3 linked regions of the Rattus norvegicus genome follow. The protein of the gene in region 1 interacts with the protein of each later gene in a pairwise test. Links are inferred from orthologs where the notes say so. Each region holds a gene or a part of one and is shown in the gene's direction. Other genes may lie near its edges.

Evidence for each region.
Region 2: the proteins of Krt40 (region 1) and Wt1 interact in binary tests that used the Homo sapiens proteins (3 or more experiments, as listed by UniProt). The two-hybrid records come from large-scale screens. The link is inferred for Rattus norvegicus from reciprocal best matches to the Homo sapiens genes KRT40 and WT1.
Region 3: the proteins of Krt40 (region 1) and Zbtb16 interact in binary tests that used the Homo sapiens proteins (3 or more experiments, as listed by UniProt). The two-hybrid records come from large-scale screens. The link is inferred for Rattus norvegicus from reciprocal best matches to the Homo sapiens genes KRT40 and ZBTB16.

What each region holds. Positions count from the first base shown.
Region 1 is NC_086028.1:84,995,191-85,001,485, reverse strand, and holds the start of Krt40 (keratin, type I cytoskeletal 40), read left to right. Parts: upstream 1-2,587; coding exon 2,588-3,034; intron 3,035-4,372; coding exon 4,373-4,455; intron 4,456-4,761; coding exon 4,762-4,918; intron 4,919-5,817; coding exon 5,818-5,979; intron 5,980-6,054; coding exon 6,055-6,180; intron 6,181-6,295. UniProt on the Homo sapiens protein: May play a role in late hair differentiation.
Region 2 is NC_086021.1:112,024,160-112,030,396, forward strand, and holds part of Wt1 (Wilms tumor protein homolog), read left to right. Parts: exon of another isoform or gene 1-1,586; coding exon of another isoform or gene 1,587-1,608; intron 1,609-1,646; exon of another isoform or gene 1,647-1,944; coding exon of another isoform or gene 1,945-1,954; intron 1,955-3,792; coding exon 3,793-3,915; intron 3,916-4,305; coding exon 4,306-4,408; intron 4,409-6,237. UniProt on the Homo sapiens protein: Transcription factor that plays an important role in cellular development and cell survival. Recognizes and binds to the DNA sequence 5'-GCG(T/G)GGGCG-3'. Regulates the expression of numerous target genes, including EPO.
Region 3 is NC_086026.1:57,897,780-57,904,016, reverse strand, and holds part of Zbtb16 (zinc finger and BTB domain-containing protein 16), read left to right. Parts: intron 1-4,436; coding exon 4,437-4,607; intron 4,608-6,237. UniProt on the Homo sapiens protein: Acts as a transcriptional repressor. Transcriptional repression may be mediated through recruitment of histone deacetylases to target promoters. May play a role in myeloid maturation and in the development and/or maintenance of other differentiated tissues.

The sequences.
Region 1 (6,295 bases):
CAGAAACTATGCAGCTGCTTGTTGAAATCTCAGGAAGAAAAAGGGACACTTTGAAAAGTGATTTTAGTGTTTATTTCTAAGTTGTAAAAAGTGTCCTATGAAAGTCCTTGAAGAAAAAGGGGAAAGGGCCTTGTGAAAATGGGGGATAAGGGGTCTAAGTAAAAGGGGATAAGAGGAATGTTCTCCTCTCTTTGTCTTCAGCACCAACACATCAGAATACATGATCACATGGTAAAAAGTTCATGACAAGTTTACACATAAATTCAAACCATAAATCAAATAAGAAGTTTACAACAGAGAATGTTTTCTTACATGTCCATTCTAAACATTCATTATTTGTCACAGCTCTACGGGTTCATGGCAAGTTAAAAGCCATAACTGCGTTATTACTGAATTTTTGTATAGATAAACCCAGTCAATATTTTATCTTCTGTCCTAGCAACTATAATGAATTGTTAGTTCCCTTTTTATGACCTTTAGTTAGTGGTTTTACAACCACTAATGTGCTCTGAGTAGGAGGTGTCTGCTTGGTATCTCAGAAGCAATTAACTCATGACACTAAAGACTGGCAGAGTTCTCAGTGCAGTTTTGATTATCAGAGAGAACCTAATAGCAGTCCCACTATAAAAGATCTTAATAAATACTGATATAATTTTAGGAATTCTTATAGGATCATTATAAAGAATTGGGAACTCATTCATTTGTCTGTATAGCATCACTAAGAGACAGTACATCTTTGTAGTTCTGCAGAGATCTGCTCAAAGGGTAGGCTAATGCCTAGTGATCATTATATATGTTTAATAATAACAAGAAAGCATATTGATAACAGAAATCTTTCCTCAAATGAATTTCTCCTAGGACTTGCCTACTGGAGCTCCACTGTAGATTTTAATCTAAGTCACACCCATCTCGGAAAGATCTCCTGCTAGTTTTTAGCTTCTCCTATGTTGGCTCCTGACAACACATGCCTTTTATCAAATCATTCAGGAGACAGATTCAGGTAGATTAATATGAGTCAGAAGCCAGCCTAGTCTACACAGTGAATTCCAAGTCAGCCAGAGTTATGTAGAGAAATCTGTCTCAAAAATGATAATAAGGAAATAAAAAGCAATCTAAGACACTCAACATTAATGTCTACTTTCCACATACATGCATATCCATGCATACACACACACACACACACACACACACACACACACATACACACGCACAGTGGACTTTTATTGATGCTGAAAGCAATTTTCTCTGTGTAATTTTTGAAAGTGAAATAAAAACCACAATTAAAATCAGACAACATGAAACTCCAGTTTATAGTTATAGTAGAGGTGAGATCCTAGAACCAATGTCCATCTAGTTCTGTACCAGAGGTTCTTAACTCAGTGAAACTGTTAGCTGAAACAGACATCACATAATCATATTCCCAACATCCAAATATTTTTCATTTTCATGAAATTGAGACTTTCCTAAATAAAAAAGAGGAGACAGACTCCATATTTTTTTAAAAGTAAGATTTTTGTGGCTTCCTTGGCTCTATTCCCAAGTATAATGGGTAAGGAGCTCCGTCACAGATTACAGCTAAACCCTCATTGCAATTTCTCTCTCTGCTCTCCTTAATATAGGTAAGGACTGGGACTATAGGTTGAGGTAAATCAATTATGTGCCATGAACAATACCTTATGATTGATCTCCAACTTCAAAGGAAGGAAGAAGGGAGGGAAGGACGGAAGGAAAAAGAAAGAAAGACTGCTTTTCAAAAACAGCATAACGCTTCTAAAATGTAAACATGAGAAAGCAAAGCTTGCGTGTCTGACTATCCACTCAGTGCACATCCAATCTCACCAACTAAGCAGGGTTAGGCATGCTTAGTGCTTGGCTACAGACCACAAATTCTAGATGACCAAAGATCGCAATTCAGATCTTGATAACCAATTCATAGTTTGACTCAATTATTCTCATCAGTCTATAAAATGAATGCACATAATTTGCACTCAGCATAGACCTTTTCCTGTACCATGTAAGCACATACTTCAAACTCACTAAAAAAAAGACACTTCAAGATTGAGATTGCTAACCGCCATTTTTACAGTGGTTGGTAGCACAAACAAATACAATTTAATAAGCTGTGATGTCCATTTGTAAAGTAGACAAGAGCAATCAATTTTCAAAATCAAACCCTGTTGGAATATTACTTTCTGTATCTCCAATGATCTCTACCTTTAATTACTGATGGCTCGATTTTTTTCTTTGGTTCCTTATTCATTCAAAAAGGTAGTGCTTCCTATGGCCGTTTGCTGAAATAAGAATTTTTATCCAAGCAGCATGTGGAAATGGCGTTAGTCCTGATTTAGTAACCTGAAGTTATCCTCCTTTTACGAGGCATACAACTTCCTCCGTAAATAATCAACACTAATGAGATGTTTGTAGGAAAGCTGGCATCTGCAAGGCTAGAGAAAACATCGGTGTGTCCTGTAAACACTCATTTGAAGGGAGATATAAAAGTCTCAGGAAGCCAAAAGTCCTAGACCTTTGGGAGACTAGGCGAGACCTAAGCAATACACCATTCAATCTGTTCATTCCTTCTCAGAAGATGGCTTCCGAAGGCTCCCCTGACTGCTGCTCTTCTGAGCCCTATGCAGGGGCATCGAGCTGCACAACTGCCTCATTCTGCCCCACCAGCACAACTTACCTTCCCAGCACCTGCGCCACATCCAGATGTCAAACCCCGAGCTTCCTCTGCAGGGCTCACCTCCCGGCCGGTTGCCTCTCACCGTGCTACTTGACTGGCGGTTGTAACAGTCCTTGCCTGGTGGGGAACTGTGCATGGTGTGAAGAAGGGACGTTCAACAGTAATGAGAAGGAGACCATGCAGTTCCTGAATGACAGATTGGCCAGCTACCTAGAGCGGGTGAGAAGCCTGGAAGAGAACAATGCAGAGCTGGAGTGCAGGATCCGAGAGCAATGTGAGCCCGATGCCACACCGGTCTGCCCGGATTATCAGCGGTACTTTGACACCATTGAAGAGCTACAACAAAAGGTTGGGTGTCTCACTGCCCTAATGTTTCCCAATGTTCTCTGTTTTCCAATTCTGTTTTCTCTCATAGCTGTACTAGGGCAGGTTGCTTTGTGGATGTAAAACAAAGGAAAGGGGGATTCCCAGAGTTAGTTCAAATAATCAATCTCATTCTCAGAGAATTATTGGGTGACTATAGAAATGTCACCTTGCTGTAGACTTTGTCTACACTGTGAAGGAAATTGAGTTATGACGTCTTCTAAACCCCATTCTTCATGTATCATTGCGTGTTTATATTCTTTATCAAACAGATATTGAATGCCATCCATTTGAGTTCTGGAAATCGTTCTCTATTTGTGTGTATGTGTGCAAAATGTGGGGTTGGTGGGCGACGTGATATATGATCGTGTGGGGAGGGAACACATGCCTGAGTGTGGGTAAGGAGGTCTGGGGTCCATGGCAAGTACCTTGCGTTCCTCGCCTTGTTTTTGAGACAGAGTCTCTTCTTGAAACTGGAACTCACTGATTTAGCTGCAGTCCCTGAGGCCTGGCCAGGGAGCCCCAGGGATCTTACTGTTTCCACCTCCTTAGTACCAGGGGTTAACCGACACTGAGTATTATACTTACCTTTTTCACATGAGCTCTGTGAGATTGAACCCAGATCTTCCTACTCGTGTTTCAAACCCTTGACCAACAAAGCCACTTCTCCTTTTTTAATTGATGGATTTCTGTGACCACAGAGATGCAATTCTAACAAACACTAGCAGTGTGGGAAACTTCAACAAAGCTCAAAAGCCAGTGATGGTGACAAAATGCCCTGCATCACTGATAAAGGAAACCTTGAACCCCAGAGACGGCTCAGCAGTGATTAACAACATTGTACTGCTCATGAGCACCTGAGTTCAGTTCCTACCATCCAAGTGTGGCAGCTCACAAGCACCTAAAACTTCTCACCTTCTTCTCACTGCACAAGGCTACACTCTTACCAACATACAGACACACTCAAATGTGTACACTCTCATGTGCATACACATACTCTTAAATATACACGCTCACCTGCACATACACACACACACACACACACACACACACACACACACACACCTACACATACTAAGAAAGAAAAGGTGAAATCCTTCATTTTAGGAAGGGAAGGTCTTTTGCTTCTGTATTTTGTTTCTCAATTGGCACTGAATGTTTTTTTATTCTGTGAAGTGGCACAGTTAATAGGAATCATGGGTTGGAAGAGACATTATGTTAACTTGGAAAGACTTTCATAAACTAATGAGTGGCAAGGCTGTTAAAATAGATATGTGGATTTCTTCTAAAGAGCTCCTCACTAAATGATGACTTACCTCTTAGATATTGTGCACGAAGGCAGAGAATTCTAGACTTGCCGTGCAGGTGGACAACTGCAAACTGGCTGCCGATGATTTTAGGTCAAAGTAAGTCAAATTATGTTTATTTTGTTAAGCCACAGTGTGCTTTGTGTATGCAATTTACACGTTAAATTTTAAATTTAATTATAAAATAATAATTAACAATAATTAATGTCTTCCAGTAAGAGAGAAAATATTTTCTGCATAATATATATTTTTAACTGAGAATGTTTGAACCCTGAACTCACCTTCATTTGGAATGTAAGGAAAATTGAGGCGTGTGACTCTCTGGAGGCCATGTGTCATCCAACCCTGCATCCCAGTACTCTGAGCCAATTAAGCCACTTCCCTCCCTTTCTCCTACTCTGAAAGGTATGAGAGCGAACTGTCCCTGCGCCAGCTGGTAGAGAATGACATCAGTGGTCTTCGTGGGATCCTGGGTGAACTGACCCTGTGCAAGTCAGATCTGGAGGCCCATGTGGAGTCTCTGAAAGATGATCTACTTTGCCTTAAGAAAGACCATGAAGAGGTGAGTGGAGTGGCCGCTGGGCCAAAGACTATAGGAGGAGTTCTGTTGAGAAATCTCATGTGTATAAATTGAACAGGGACAGACACTGCCTATACTGGAACAAAACTAGAGACATTCTCACTGTGTAGCATGATTGCCCCAGTGTCTCTCAAGGTAGATGTGATGTACAGCATGCATCATTAACATAACCCTCATCAGTGGCACGGAGGTGAGGTCACTCTTTTTCCTGCCATTGCTTGGGTTGAGAAGTAACTCAACTCATGGTTTTTTCCATAGCTCTATTGTATAACAAGGAAATTGAGCTGATAAAACTGACTGTGTATCCCCTTCCAAAAAAGGGATAAACAATCACACAATACTTGGAATCATGTTTGTAGGTATTGTGTGTTTATAATTTGATTCTGTCATAAGCTATTAAAATGAGAAGCAGATTGATGTAACAAAGAAAAAATTTACTCTTTGAATATTTTGATGGTAACAATAGCTGGCAAGTGTGGATACCTTAGCTGGTAACAATAGTTGGCAATTATGGATACCTGAGCGTGTGTCATTAATTTTATAGATTTACTGTGTGTGTAGTAGTGTGTAGTAACTCTTCCCTGTCTCACAATAATCCTCTGGGAAAGGGTACAAAATTACACCTGTTTTGCAGACAAATAGCTGAAACATTTGGACCTAATAGAAAGAGTATAAGGGAAAATGACTCAGCAATTAAGAGTGCTGTTTGCTCTTCCAGAGGACCCAAGTTCAGCTTCCTGTACCCATGTCAGGGAGCTCACAACTGCCCATAACCCCAGCTCCATGTGGCATACAGACACACATAAATGTAAATTTTAAAAATCTTTCTTAAACAGAAGTAAACCCCACTCTGACATTCCTTACTCCATTTCCATTCTCAGGAGGTCAACTTGCTTCGTGAGCAGCTTGGAGATCGACTCAATGTGGAGCTGGACACTGCCCCCACTGTGGACCTCAACAAGGTCCTGGATGAGATGCGGTGTCAATATGAGAGGGTGCTGGCCAACAACCGCAGGGATGCGGAGGAGTGGTTCGCTGCTCAGGTCAGTGCCCTTGGGAAAGGGAAGACTTCGGGGAGGATGCCTTGCCTGAGCTCTCTAACAGGGCCTTTGTTTCAGACAGAAGAGCTGAACCAGCAGCAGATGTCCAGTGCAGAGCAGCTGCAGGGCTGCCAGACTGAGATGCTGGAGTTGAAGCGTACAGCCAACACTCTGGAAATTGAGCTCCAGGCACAGCAAACCCTGGTGCGTGGGATGAACAGTGCTAACCTTTGTCAGCAGCATCCCAGAGATGCTATGCTCTTTGACAGAAGTCCAGGGAGACACTCACAGTTCAGCCAATTAACCTAGCTGGCTTTTC
Region 2 (6,237 bases), on another chromosome or scaffold:
TGCGCGTCTAGTAGAAGAAACCCATTGTTGAAGGTGGGTGGGGCTGAGAATTTAAATCGGGAGGGCATTGCCAGTGCACTTGAGGTGTTAGGGGTGGGCATCCAGATTCTTCTGGAGTAGACAGGTCAGGCTACTACAGAAGCGAGAAAGCTTGGAAAATGAGAACTGGCGAAAGCTTCCCACCACACCAGCTCTTCTCAAACCAAGAGAAGGCCAATGGGGAGATGTCTTCCGTGCAGGGACATACCCTGGAAGCAGGTTCCCGTCAGGAAACTTGGCTTTTTCTTTCCTAGTTAAAAGGAGTGGGTCATGCAGGTGGCCCCTGTGGGTTCCCTTGCCTCCTGGGATCTGAAGTGGTGAGCATGGAGCTGCTTACCCACCCCATCCCCCAAGGCAACTAGGAGGGACCCTCAAGACCCGAAGTTCTTTGAATATTCATTCCTTTATTTTAGGAGTTCCTATGGATCCTTTCAGCAATGTAGGATATAGTTTGGAGCTTTTGCTTAGGAGAAGTTGTCTTCTGTCCCTGGAAAGTGTGAACATGGCCACCAGCTTGCTCCAGACTCGGCTGTCAGAGGAATTCAAGCTATCTCTGGTTACCTGTTGGCAAGCCTGGGAGAGCAACTGTGACACTTTCCTTCCTTCCTTCCTCCGTTTCTTAAGGACATTCACACACACAGCCATTTCTTATATAGCTGACATCATAATCTTGTAAAGATTAATTTAGCAAAAAGCAAATCTTACTCGGTGGGGTCAGTGGGGTTGTAGATTACCGATTAAGACAGCTAGTGGCTATAGGAATCTTCACAAGAAGCACTGAGATCTAAGGAGCCTCTTAACACTGGGAGCCTAAATCCAGTCACTCAGAGATTAGGGTTTTAAGAGTCCTCTTAGTTCGTGGCAGAGGTATGACATTTTTTTTTCTCTTGTTTTCTCCCAGAAATTTTGGCTCTCTGGCTGAAATGGGTTTTCTCTGCCCAGATGAATAGGTCCTGAACTTGTGAGTGTAAGATGGTTAGGAAGTCTGTCAGAACGCAGAAGTGGGGGTGAGGATTTTCCTAGTCTGGACCCAATGCAGGGCTTGCCAGTCAGCTTCTGACCCCCGTCCCACTCTAGCCCTGTAGTTCTCCTAACAGTGATAGCCTGGGCCTTGGAGATCTCTGCCCTGATGGTCGGTGACGGGAGACCTGCTGTGATGGGGCCAAAGGCGCCCCCCTCCGGTCATATCAAAGACAGTAGTTGGGTGGGAGTGAGGACTCCACCTATCCTTTGGCAGCTGGGTTTTCCGGAACACCTTCCAGGCTTAGCCTGCTGTAGGATCTCCCCCTCAGCTCTCCAGGGCCTGGCTGGAGCAGCCTGTTCTGGGCTCCTCCGCAGCGGAGGCAGGGGAGAGCTCAGAGCCTTATTCTCCTTCCAACAATGTCAAGGTTGCTCTCCCCTCCCTGGTCCAGATCAACCGTGGGAAAGTGGCTACCTTGGCTGCGAGGGCCTTTCCCTCCGAGGCCTGGACAAGAAGCCTTTGAACACTCTGAAACTTCGCGAAGTCAGCAATCTTTCCGCCGACCCCCACTCCCGCCCTCTTCGAGATGGGCTCAGCTCAGTCCCCAGGTACAGCGGGTTCCTAATCAGCCCGAGCTCTGATAAGCTTCTAATTAAAAGAGCTCTCCCTGCGTTCCTGCTGCTTCACTGCTGCCCCTCCCAGAAGACCCGAGGGAGGGGCTCAAGGTTGCCTCTGCCGGCCGAGGTTTGCGGGTGTCATCTATGGGAAGGAGGGTAAGAAGCCTTGCTGGACGCCCGCTTCCTCGAGCCGGGGTTCCGGACCGCGGAGCCGAGGTCCCTGGCGTGGGAGCTGCAGCCCGGGCACTAGCAGCTCTCGTTACCAGCGATTGAGCAGCGGGTCTGAGATTTTGCGTGGCCTGAGATCATTGGCTACTCGGCTCAGGAATGGAGAAGGGTTCGTTTAGAGACAATTTCTTTATTGCTCTACCTCTTTCCCCCTGTTTTGTTTAAGGATTCTTCCACAAACTCCCGTATTTCTCCTGGGAACACTCGGGTGGGTGCCTGGACCCAAATTTTGATTGTAAGCTGTAGGCCTCAAGCAGAGCCAGGCTTCATTTCTCAAAAGGGAGACTCTGGAAGGCTATATATACTTTTTAATCCACACCCAAGAGTTATTAGGGTTGGGGATTATCTTTCCTTGCTTCAGAAGTAAAGGACTCGCTCACCCAGGTTGAAAAGCTGGCTGATTCCTCAGTCACTAACCAGAGTTCTCCGGGGCACTCAACGCCTTCCAAGGTACAGCTTGGTGATTCCTATGGTATCCCATCACTCCCCTTCACTGTAAAGCGCCACCATCGGTAGAGTACATCGACTGCTCCGGAGCAATCCCGATAGGAATGAAGGCCGGGTTTTTGTCTGGACAGTGGGAGTCACCTCTGTATTTTGAAATTGGAGATAACTGTCTGTGTACTGAATGAAGGGTCTCAGCGACTCTTATTGAAGAACCTCGATCAACTGGTGGGTTAAAAACATCACATGACATAACTGAGTCTCCAAAGAAACCAGAAATTTTCACTTCAGGTGGTTACTTCCTAGAATTTATTGGGATTTAGAGACTGCGCAGTAGGAAGCCACCGGGGCTACTGCAGGATGGCCCTGAAGGGAGGGGGAGTAGCCACTCTGTGAGGACCAGCGCTTATTGGCATTCTATCCTGCAAGTCCTGGTTCCCCCTTCACCAGGAGGGGAGGAGGAGAAGGCCCTACCCCAATTAAGTCCCTAGAAGGATTTTTAAGATGAGGGCGTCCACAAGAACTTGAGATTTGGCAAACAGATGGGAAATGTGTTTATAGAAACTTCGTAACAATACCGTGAAAGAATATGGAATTTCAAGACTCTTGGTTGGTTTTCATCCATTGGAGAGCTAGGACTGATCATCACCAGCCTCAGCTTCTCAGCAGGGAAACTGAGGCAAGGGGCTGAAACACTGCTACACAGGGATAGTGTTAGGGACAGTGTCCTGACCTGTAGGGCAAGAAGGTTGGTCACCACAGCAGTGGACAGAACTGGGCCCCCTAGGCTCCAGGTAAGGGTAGGAGGGACAGAAGGATTCGACCTAACTGGAAGGGTCGTGCCCGCCCCCGCCCCTACAAGCTTTCCTGAAGGCTTTGGGTGTCTTGGTGTCAGGCTGTGCAGCCCAGAGAGGTAACATGCCCTGGTAATTACTCTGTCCATTTAAAGCGCAGACCGTTGAACTGGCTCAGAGTAATTAATGAAAGCTGGTGCGCGGGCCCTTGATTTACAGCCCTGAGTCAAAGCGGGGTCAGCGGAGGAAACCCGGTCCTCTGGGCCGAGCCGCCCCAGCGTGAGAGCCACGGTGTTGTTTGTTTTTTAAGAAAGACAGTTTCTCCGCCAGGCGGGCGACGGTTTTTACACCCAACTTGCTGGAGGTTCTATTCAACAGTGGAAGACAGGCACAGAAGAATTGGGGAAAGGCGCGGAGTTGGGGATTTTATTCGGGAAAGAGGATGGGATTAGTTTCCACCACAAAGTTTGGTGCACCCCCCGGGCCCCCCTGCCCCGTCCCCGCTTCAAGTCTGAAGTTCTAGAGGGCGGAGGGGGTAGTGGTGGTGGCTGGGATGGCAGGGGACTACAGGGGACGACAGAGGACGACTCTACTGCTGATGCGAATTCGGAGATCGGGTACTCGCTGCCACCCGGGTTCGAGTCCTGCCAATGTCCCTGACTTTTCAGGAACCTAATTGACTCTGTGCTTCTTTGTGCCTCTTCTTCAGGATACAGCACGGTCACTTTCGACGGGGCACCCAGTTATGGCCACACGCCCTCGCACCATGCAGCGCAGTTCCCCAATCATTCCTTCAAACACGAGGACCCCATGGGCCAGCAGGGCTCGCTGGGTAAGTGGGTGGGGAAAAAGCCGGTTTTACCGGATGTCTCCATCTATATTACCGCATCTTACCCAAATTTTGAATTCCTAGCAAACTGGGAAAGCGAGACAGCAAAAGGGATTTTAGAAATACTAGCTTGTTTTACTCTATTTGAAAGATCGAATCTCCTTCCGTTCAAAGTACACTAAGGAAAAACGTCCCTCAGGCAAGGCTTCCAATGCTAGATAGTGACTGCGATGCAACCTAAAGTGAAGAAGTAGTCCTTGAGTCGCGAGCCCCAAGTCACACAGCTGACCTCTCTGTCCGAGGCTCAGCAAGCTCCCCCACTCCACACCAGAACCCCTGCCTGTGCCTCACACTCTCGGGTCCCGCTCACTGCTGCCCTTGGCTCTCTGGCAGGCGAGCAGCAGTACTCGGTGCCACCTCCAGTGTATGGCTGCCACACCCCTACCGACAGTTGCACAGGCAGCCAGGCCCTGCTCCTGAGGACGCCCTACAGCAGGTAAGAAGGTGCAGAGCACCGGGGCTAAGGCCTGGAGATCCGGGAGGCGCAGGTGAGCCTGCGGCGGCGACGGAACGCCTGACTCTGGGCATCGCTGACAGCGGGAGACAAACGAAGTCTTCTTTAAGCCTAGACACTCAGTTTAAAGAAAGCAGGTGCCTTGGTTTGTTGTTTTGCATATAAACGAAGGTCACTGTGTTTGGTGATAAAAAGGAAACTGCTGCTTTGGGGGTTTCTTTTCTTTGGTTTTTCGAGACAGGATTTTTCTGTGTGTCCTGGTAGTTCTGTAGACCAGTCTGGCCTCGAACTGAGGGATCCGCTTGTCTCAGTCTCCCGAGTGCTGAGATTAAAGGCATGCGCCATCATGCCCGGTCATGCGTTATTTCTTAATGGTCTTTGCTGGGAGCCCTTTAACTTCCCCAAGACAAAAAGAAAAAAAAAATTTAAGGACCAAGTCCACTCCAACTCTGTCCATCTAGTTAAAAGCTTCCGCGTCAACTGGCCACACAGGCCAAACTACTTAAAGAGTGGGCCACATCCTTCCTCTCACCCTTGCCCTCTAGAGTTTTGGCCCGTGACAGTGTTTCGTAGACTTGTTTTGTGGCTGCCCTGTGTGCGCTCCGGGGCTAGACCCTTTGCTCGAGACTGTGATCACGAAGATGCGCAGGCACGCAAACCTTCTTGCTTCGGGGAGAAGGAACTTTTTTCCTCATTTAAACTCTGCTCCCTCCCCCTTCTCTGGTCTCTAGTTCCACTTTCCACCTTTTCTTACCCAAATTTATTCTTCAACTTTGGGTGAACTTGGCGGGCATCCCGCGTCGCAGATAGCGTTGCTTAGCAACTGCGATGCACACACACCGGTCCATGACAGCCTGGAAGGTGCTGAGCGCCTTGTCTTGGCTGTAGAGGATTGGGTGCGCATTACCTCACCGCTCCCCCTCCCCCCTGTACTATGGGGATCCTGACACCGACTGCCCCAAACTCATTCCCATCCTCCCGCCCCTCGACTCCGGGAGGCTGACGTCAAGGGAAGGAGGTAGTGAGGTAATGAAGGAAGGAAAAGCATCTGTCGTGGGAGATTGGGTTGGGGAATGGCCGCGCCTGGGACCTCCAGTCCCTGAGGTGGAGGAGGGGAACGTCTGAAGCCTGCACAGCAGCGGTGCAACCTAGGGCCTCAGGTGCATTGACCCTGGGACTGGTCTCTCTCTCCCATCCGGGTATCCAGGCGTAAAGCCTGGTTCCTTCTAATTTTGCCCTCTGGAGTGCTCTGACTTCGAAAACGTTTCTATTTGGCGTGAAAAATCCATCCAATCTAATCGAAGTTTGGGTTCCGCACCACTTTTCTTCAGGCAGGAGGGAGAGAAACATGCACAAGGGACAGAGGGGGGCATATTCATTTTTCCTCTCCCTATGTAGAAAGTGGTCCTGGACGAGCACTGCAGAGCCAGTGTGCTAAGGCCACAGTCTCAGTGAAGCCAGATCACCAGAACAAGTTCAAGAGTGGCAAGCACTCGAGTCTGGAAGACTCTCCCCTTATGGGGAGTAGTGGCAACAGCCACAGACATCCTTCCTGTCTATTGCCAGAGTATCATCGCTGTTATTCTAGTAGCTAAGGGGGGGGGTCTGGAACAGTTCCTGGTGTGAAGACCTTGGTCCCTCAGTCAGGAAGAGTGTGATGTGGGAGTGGGCATTATTGAAATGGGTCCTGTACATTCTTGGGAGCTGGGGACTGGCAAGATATAATTCTCTCTCTCTCTCTCTCTCTCTCTCTCTCTCTCTCTCTCTCTCTCTCTCTGTCTCCCCCTCCTGCTCTTGCTAGCCTCCCCCCT
Region 3 (6,237 bases), on another chromosome or scaffold:
TAGAAGCCTACAGAGAGGAGTCGCAAAAATCCCTGAAAGAATTCCAGGAAAACACAATCAAACAGTTGAAGGAATTAAAAATGGAAATAGAAGCAATCAAGAAAGAACACATGGAAACAACCCTGGACATAGAAAATCAAAAGAAAAGACAAGGAGCTGTAGATACAAGCTTCACCAACAGAATACAAGAGATGGAAGAGAGAATCTCGGGAGCAGAAGATTCCATAGAAATCATTGACTCAACTGTCAAAGATAATGTAAAGCGGAAAAAGCTACTGGTCCAAAACATACAGGAAATCCAGGACTCAATGAGAAGATCAAACCTAAGGATAATAGGTATAGAAGAGAGTGAAGACTCCCAGCTCAAAGGACCAGTAAATATCTTCAACAAAATCATAGAAGAAAACTTCCCTAACCTAAAAAAAGAGATACCCATAGGCATACAAGAAGCCTACAGAACTCCAAATAGATTGGACCAGAAAAGAAACACCTCCCGTCACATAATTGTCAAAACACCAAACGCACAAAATAAAGAAAGAATATTAAAAGCAGTAAGGGAAAAAGGTCAAGTAACATATAAAGGCAGACCTATCAGAATCACACCAGACTTTTCGCCAGAAACTATGAAGGCCAGAAGATCCTGGACAGATGTCATACAGACCCTAAGAGAACACAAATGCCAGCCCAGGTTACTGTATCCTGCAAAACTCTCAATTAACATAGATGGAGAAACCAAGATATTCCATGACAAAACCAAATTTACACAATATCTTTCTACAAATCCAGCACTACAAAGGATAATAAAGGGTAAAGCCCAACATAAGGAGGCAAGCTATACCCTAGAAGAAGCAAGAAACTAATCGTCTTGGCAACAAAACAAAGAGAATGAAAGCACACAAACATAACCTCACATCCAAATATGAATATAACAGGAAGCAATAATCACTATTCCTTAATATCTCTCAACATCAATGGCCTCAACTCCCCAATAAAAAGACATAGATTAACAAACTGGATACGCAATGAGGACCCTGCATTCTGCTGCCTACAGGAAACACACCTCAGAGACAAAGACAGACACTACCTCAGAGTGAAAGGCTGGAAAACAACTTTCCAAGCAAATGGTCAGAAGAAGCAAGCTGGAGTAGCCATTCTAATATCAAATAAAATCAATTTTCAATTAAAAGTCATCAAAAAAGATAAGGAAGGACACTTCATATTCATCAAAGGAAAAATCCACCAAGATGAACTCTCAATCCTCATCTTCGATTGGTTTATATACAAGTGTGCAATTTCTAGGCTTGAAAGTAAAATGATGCTATTTGGTGCTGGATAGAGGAGCCTTATTTTTTATTATGGCAGCTTGCTATTTTTGTAACATGGTAATTTGGTTGAACACAATAAAGTACAGTAGTAACTGATCTCCCCCTCTTCCTGGATGAGTGAGGAGATGATTAAATGTTGATGTCAGCATCCATGAGCATATTCAGATGAGCTTCTGCTTCTGTTGAAAAGGATGCTGTGTTTGATTGTGGTCCGAAGCTTTGAAGCACTACTTGGCATCTCCTTCCTTGGAGGTCTCACTGTTTAAACATAACAGATTTGATAGCTTGTTGGTAAGGTGAGGTCCAGCTTGTCTCCACTAGGTCATCTTCATGGGAATCCGGTGGTTATACAGTTTTGTTCTAGGGATATTTCATTTTTTAATAACGGTTTTAGCTGACATTCATGGAGAGAATGAATCCTTAGAAGTGTGCCACTAGTGAAAGGAAATCCTGTCTAGAGTATGTTTCTTTACAAAGCTGTGTCACACCATCCTTTGGGCCCTCTGCTGGAGAAGTAGAATCAAGTCTCAAATAATGCCTTTTAAATTGTATCCTCTAGTATTATAGATGTAGGACAGTACTGTATCATACCTCTGTGGATGTAAAATAGCTCGTACCTGCTTTATGATACGTAGTAGTGACCGTGCTTTATCAGAGCTGTTTTTAATGATGTTGCTCAGAAAGTTTTCTTTCCAGATGATGATTGAGAAGCTAATTTAAAAAAAAATGGTGCCAGGTACCACAAGAGTAACAGAACTGTGCTGTTTTCTCGGGTTTTGTTTTTTTACTTTTTTTTTTTTTAATGGAGTGTGCTGGATGTCTCTACAGTTTTGTTCAGATGACTGCAGAACCTGGAAAAGCTGTTGCTGCTGTTGATGCATAACACACTGCTATTATTGGTCTTTTTATATAAATATAAATATATATATACAGATAAAAAAAATAGATGGAGAGCCATCCTGATGTTAACCTCTGGCCTCCAAACACCCCGTCACACCCGTATACCATACAAAGGTACACGGCTACACAGACTAAAACCTAAAGATAAATAGATAAATGGGATTCAATTGGTGTTTTCTAGAATCAAACGGACCAAGGCATTTTCTAGATTCCCTGCTCTGCCTCTTTCTCACTGTGTGACCTTAGGCAAGTTATTTAATCTCTATTTTCCTCTTTGGAAGAAGGTGGGAAGGATGCCTGTCTGGTAGGGATGCATGTTTTAAATGTGGTGACAGCACAGATAAAGACCTAGCTGAAATGGTGGTCTTTAGTCCCTGTCCCCCTGCCCACACACACACACCTTTGAGGAGGTGGACGGTTCTTCTGCCATGCAGCCCTCCTGGCTGTTGGTAGACAAGCATGGCTGCAGGTAGTTTCGGTGTCTGCAAAGACAGGAGCCAGTGGTTAAATGTGAGAAGAGAGAAGAGAGAGGATGGTGTTGGTCTAGACTGAGCCGTGTGTGGTCCTGAGGAAGCAAGACCCAGCCCTCCCACTTGCTGTTGCCATTGCTAGTCAGGGAGGCAGCAAAGCTCTTCCTGTCCCTTTCCTTCCTCCCTTACCTGTCCCCGGGAGCTTCTCATGCCACCCTGAGCAGCCCAAGACTTTCAGCAGCCCAAATGCTCTCGTGCCCTTTCCTCTTTGGACTAGACTGGCAGATCTGACCTGACTACCTTTTTTGTTAGTGTCCCTCACCTAGGAGACAGCACTGTGGGACTGAGCACAGACCATGCCATCCAAATATGGGCAGAGAGAAAAGCAGATGGGCTTGTGTTGGGAGCTAATGTTCTTAGAGACATGGACTCCAAAATGGCAGGCAAGGAGCTATGAACTGAGACTCAGCTGGAAGACTGTGTCAGGAAGGTTTTGAGGAGTGGAAAATAGCAGCCTGCCTTCGTGGGCTTCAGTAGGGCACCTAGGCTACTGGGCCAGCCAAGCATGTGACTAGGTAGAACTGAATGAATATTTCATATGACTCACTAGTTTGAAATCCTTCAACAGCTTCCCATTGGTCTTAGGATGAACCCCAGGGCTTGCAGTATGGCTGGGCAGGACCCACATGATCTGGCTCCCAGCTCTTCCTTTCACATCCTCCCTGCTTCTAAAGTTAGGACTGGACATCGTACTCAACCTGGTGTGGCTCTCCCTGAGTGTTCAAAGACTTGGTGCACTGTGTGCTGGGTGGTGTTGAGATCAGAGCAGGGACTAGTACACTCTTCCATTGTTTCATCTCCAGAACCCCAGAGAGTCTTCCTTGTAGGAAGTATCAACAGTACTATTTATGAAGTGGCTCTCAAGATGCCTGATTTCCTAAATGGGAAAGTGGTTGTAAGAACGTGGTCACTGGTGGCAGCGGTGGTGGGCGGTGGGGTTGGTGGGGGAGACGGCAGTGGCAGCACGCCGTACTTGAACTGCAGCGCTCAGGATGCAGAAGCAGGCAGATCTTTGAGTAAAAGGCCAGCCCTGGTCTACAGATAGAGTTGCAGGACAGCCAGGACTACACAAAGAAATTCTGTCTCAGGGGTAGGGAGAGGGGAGGGGAGGACAGTGGTCTACAGGTAACCCTAGGGAATAAGTGAATAGATCCCTTTGCTGCTCCCAACTGGGAACCCTATGGAAATTGGTGTGGGTTAATCTCCCTGTGCTTCTCTCTCCTTATATGAGGTTTGTGGTTTTAGGTGAGTTATGTCATAACAATGGCCAACCCATCTGATCCAGGTTATTGTTGGTTCACCTAGAGTCTAACCTGTCTTTCCACTGCTGCCTCAGACTCTGTAAGTCCCCGTGGTCACACCTTTAGTCCGCCAGCTTCTCCTGCATTGCACTCAGACCCTTGCAGAGACACATCTGTGTTACCATCCACGTGGTTTTCTATGCTTCTCTCCAAGCCTTTAGGTCTCATGGAGGCAGGGCACCATTGGCACCTTTCCTCTAAGCTACGTTCAGGGTGCTCCGTCAACGTCACGTGGCCTGGGTTGCCCAAGGCAGTTTGACTTAGAGTGTGGGGTTTAGGGTTTCTAGGGGCGGCTCTGGGTCTTGCCCCAGCCTTCAGGGATGAAGATCTGGCCTTGGGTCTCTAAGTTGCTGAAGCTCTCCCATTGCTGTCTCCTCCAGGCACGGACATGGCTGTCTTCTGTCTGCTGTGTGGGAAGCGCTTTCAGGCACAGAGTGCACTCCAGCAACACATGGAGGTCCACGCAGGCGTGCGCAGCTATATCTGCAGCGAGTGCAACCGCACCTTCCCCAGCCACACGGCTCTCAAGCGCCACCTTCGCTCACATACAGGTAGGCTGGTCCAGGGGATGGGTGGGAGCATCTCTGGACCTTATATCTGGGCTTCACCTCCAAAAATACATGGTGTTTGTGTGCAGGGGGGAGGATGTTTCAGGTTGAAGCATTCTCAGCCATTCTCTGCTTGAAGTTAGACACAGAAGGGCTCCCATAGAACATTTAAATGTTGTCAGTTTTCCCAATCTACCACCCACCCCTCCACCTGTAGACATCTGTTCCCAATCTTTCCACACACAGCACAGAAAATATTCATTAAAAGAAAAGCGTACTCTTGAGGTTTACCCTCGGAATCTTTGGTTCTGTGGTTCGGGGTGGGCTCTAGCTCTCAACACCACTAGTGAGTATTCCCAGGGGATTCTGATAGTGGAGGTGGGGAGTTGCAAATTGCATTTTGAGAAAAACTGGCCTAACTATTACAATCCCACGATTTCCCCCAATCCATCCTAGAACAGCAGTGAGGGTCAGCTCAAGGCTCCAGAGGATACAGTGAGGAACACATCCCACCTCCATAGCAGACACAGGAGGTCTCACTGTGACCGTAATGTTCTCTAGGGAAGACAATGAGTATTTGAGCATGAGATAGCCCTGCCCAGCCAGTTCACACGATGGAGTGAAAGACAGAGTATATGTGAGTCACGTAGGCGGGCTTAGTTGCCCAGTCCTGGCCTATCCTTGCCACCACCCTCTTGCTTTAGGAGATAGGATACCCAGTTCAGAGGGCCTTGAAGGAGCTGTTGGTCTTTTCCTATCTGAGGAATAAATGATTTAACTCCTTTCTTTGCTCTAAAACAAAATGAGATCATGTCTTACTGTCCCTGAGTGAAAGAATGCCAATTCCTGAATTGCATATCTGTCTTGTCTGTTTCTCTCTCTCTCTCTCTCTCTCTCTCTCTCTCTCTCTCTCTCTCTCTCTCTCTGTATATGTGTGTGTGTGTGTGTGTGTGTGTGTGTGTGTGTGTGTGTGTGTGTTCCTGATCTGGTTTTGCGGGAGAGCTGATCAAGTCTCTCTGTAAGGATATAGTGGAATACATCCACAACATAAATGCTCTGCACGCTTCAGGGAAGCCTGGAAGAACTTCTCATTCTCAAGAGCCTTTTCATAGCTGAGGAAAGGAGTATGTGGCTCCCTTTAAATGGATGACCGGCTCTGATGAATGAAGAAGGAGTTTTACTTTCAGGAGCTGAGCTGTACGGTCCAGCCAGTCATCACCATTCTCACCAAGGAGCCTGCCTTAGCTCTGGGTTCTGGATACCATGCTAGTCAGAGGAGCACAGCGCCGTATCATTATCAAATGGGAAAGGCTCACCAGATGGTTAGATCTGCCTAGGGCTGCTCCATAGAAAGGAGGAAGTCTTAGCAGGTAAGGTCCAGCAAGAGGGACCAAAGAGAAAGGGGTATATTCAACAACTCTCCCTATGGTGTCTGCACAAGGACCTCCCTGTAAGACACACACACACACACACACACACACACACACACACACACACACACACACACACACAGTCACAGTCACACATCATCATCATCATCATCATCATCATCATCATCATCATCATCATCATCATCATCCCATCAATGATTCTCTCGATGGATCAGTCTTAGCCCAGCCTCCTTTAGCTACCT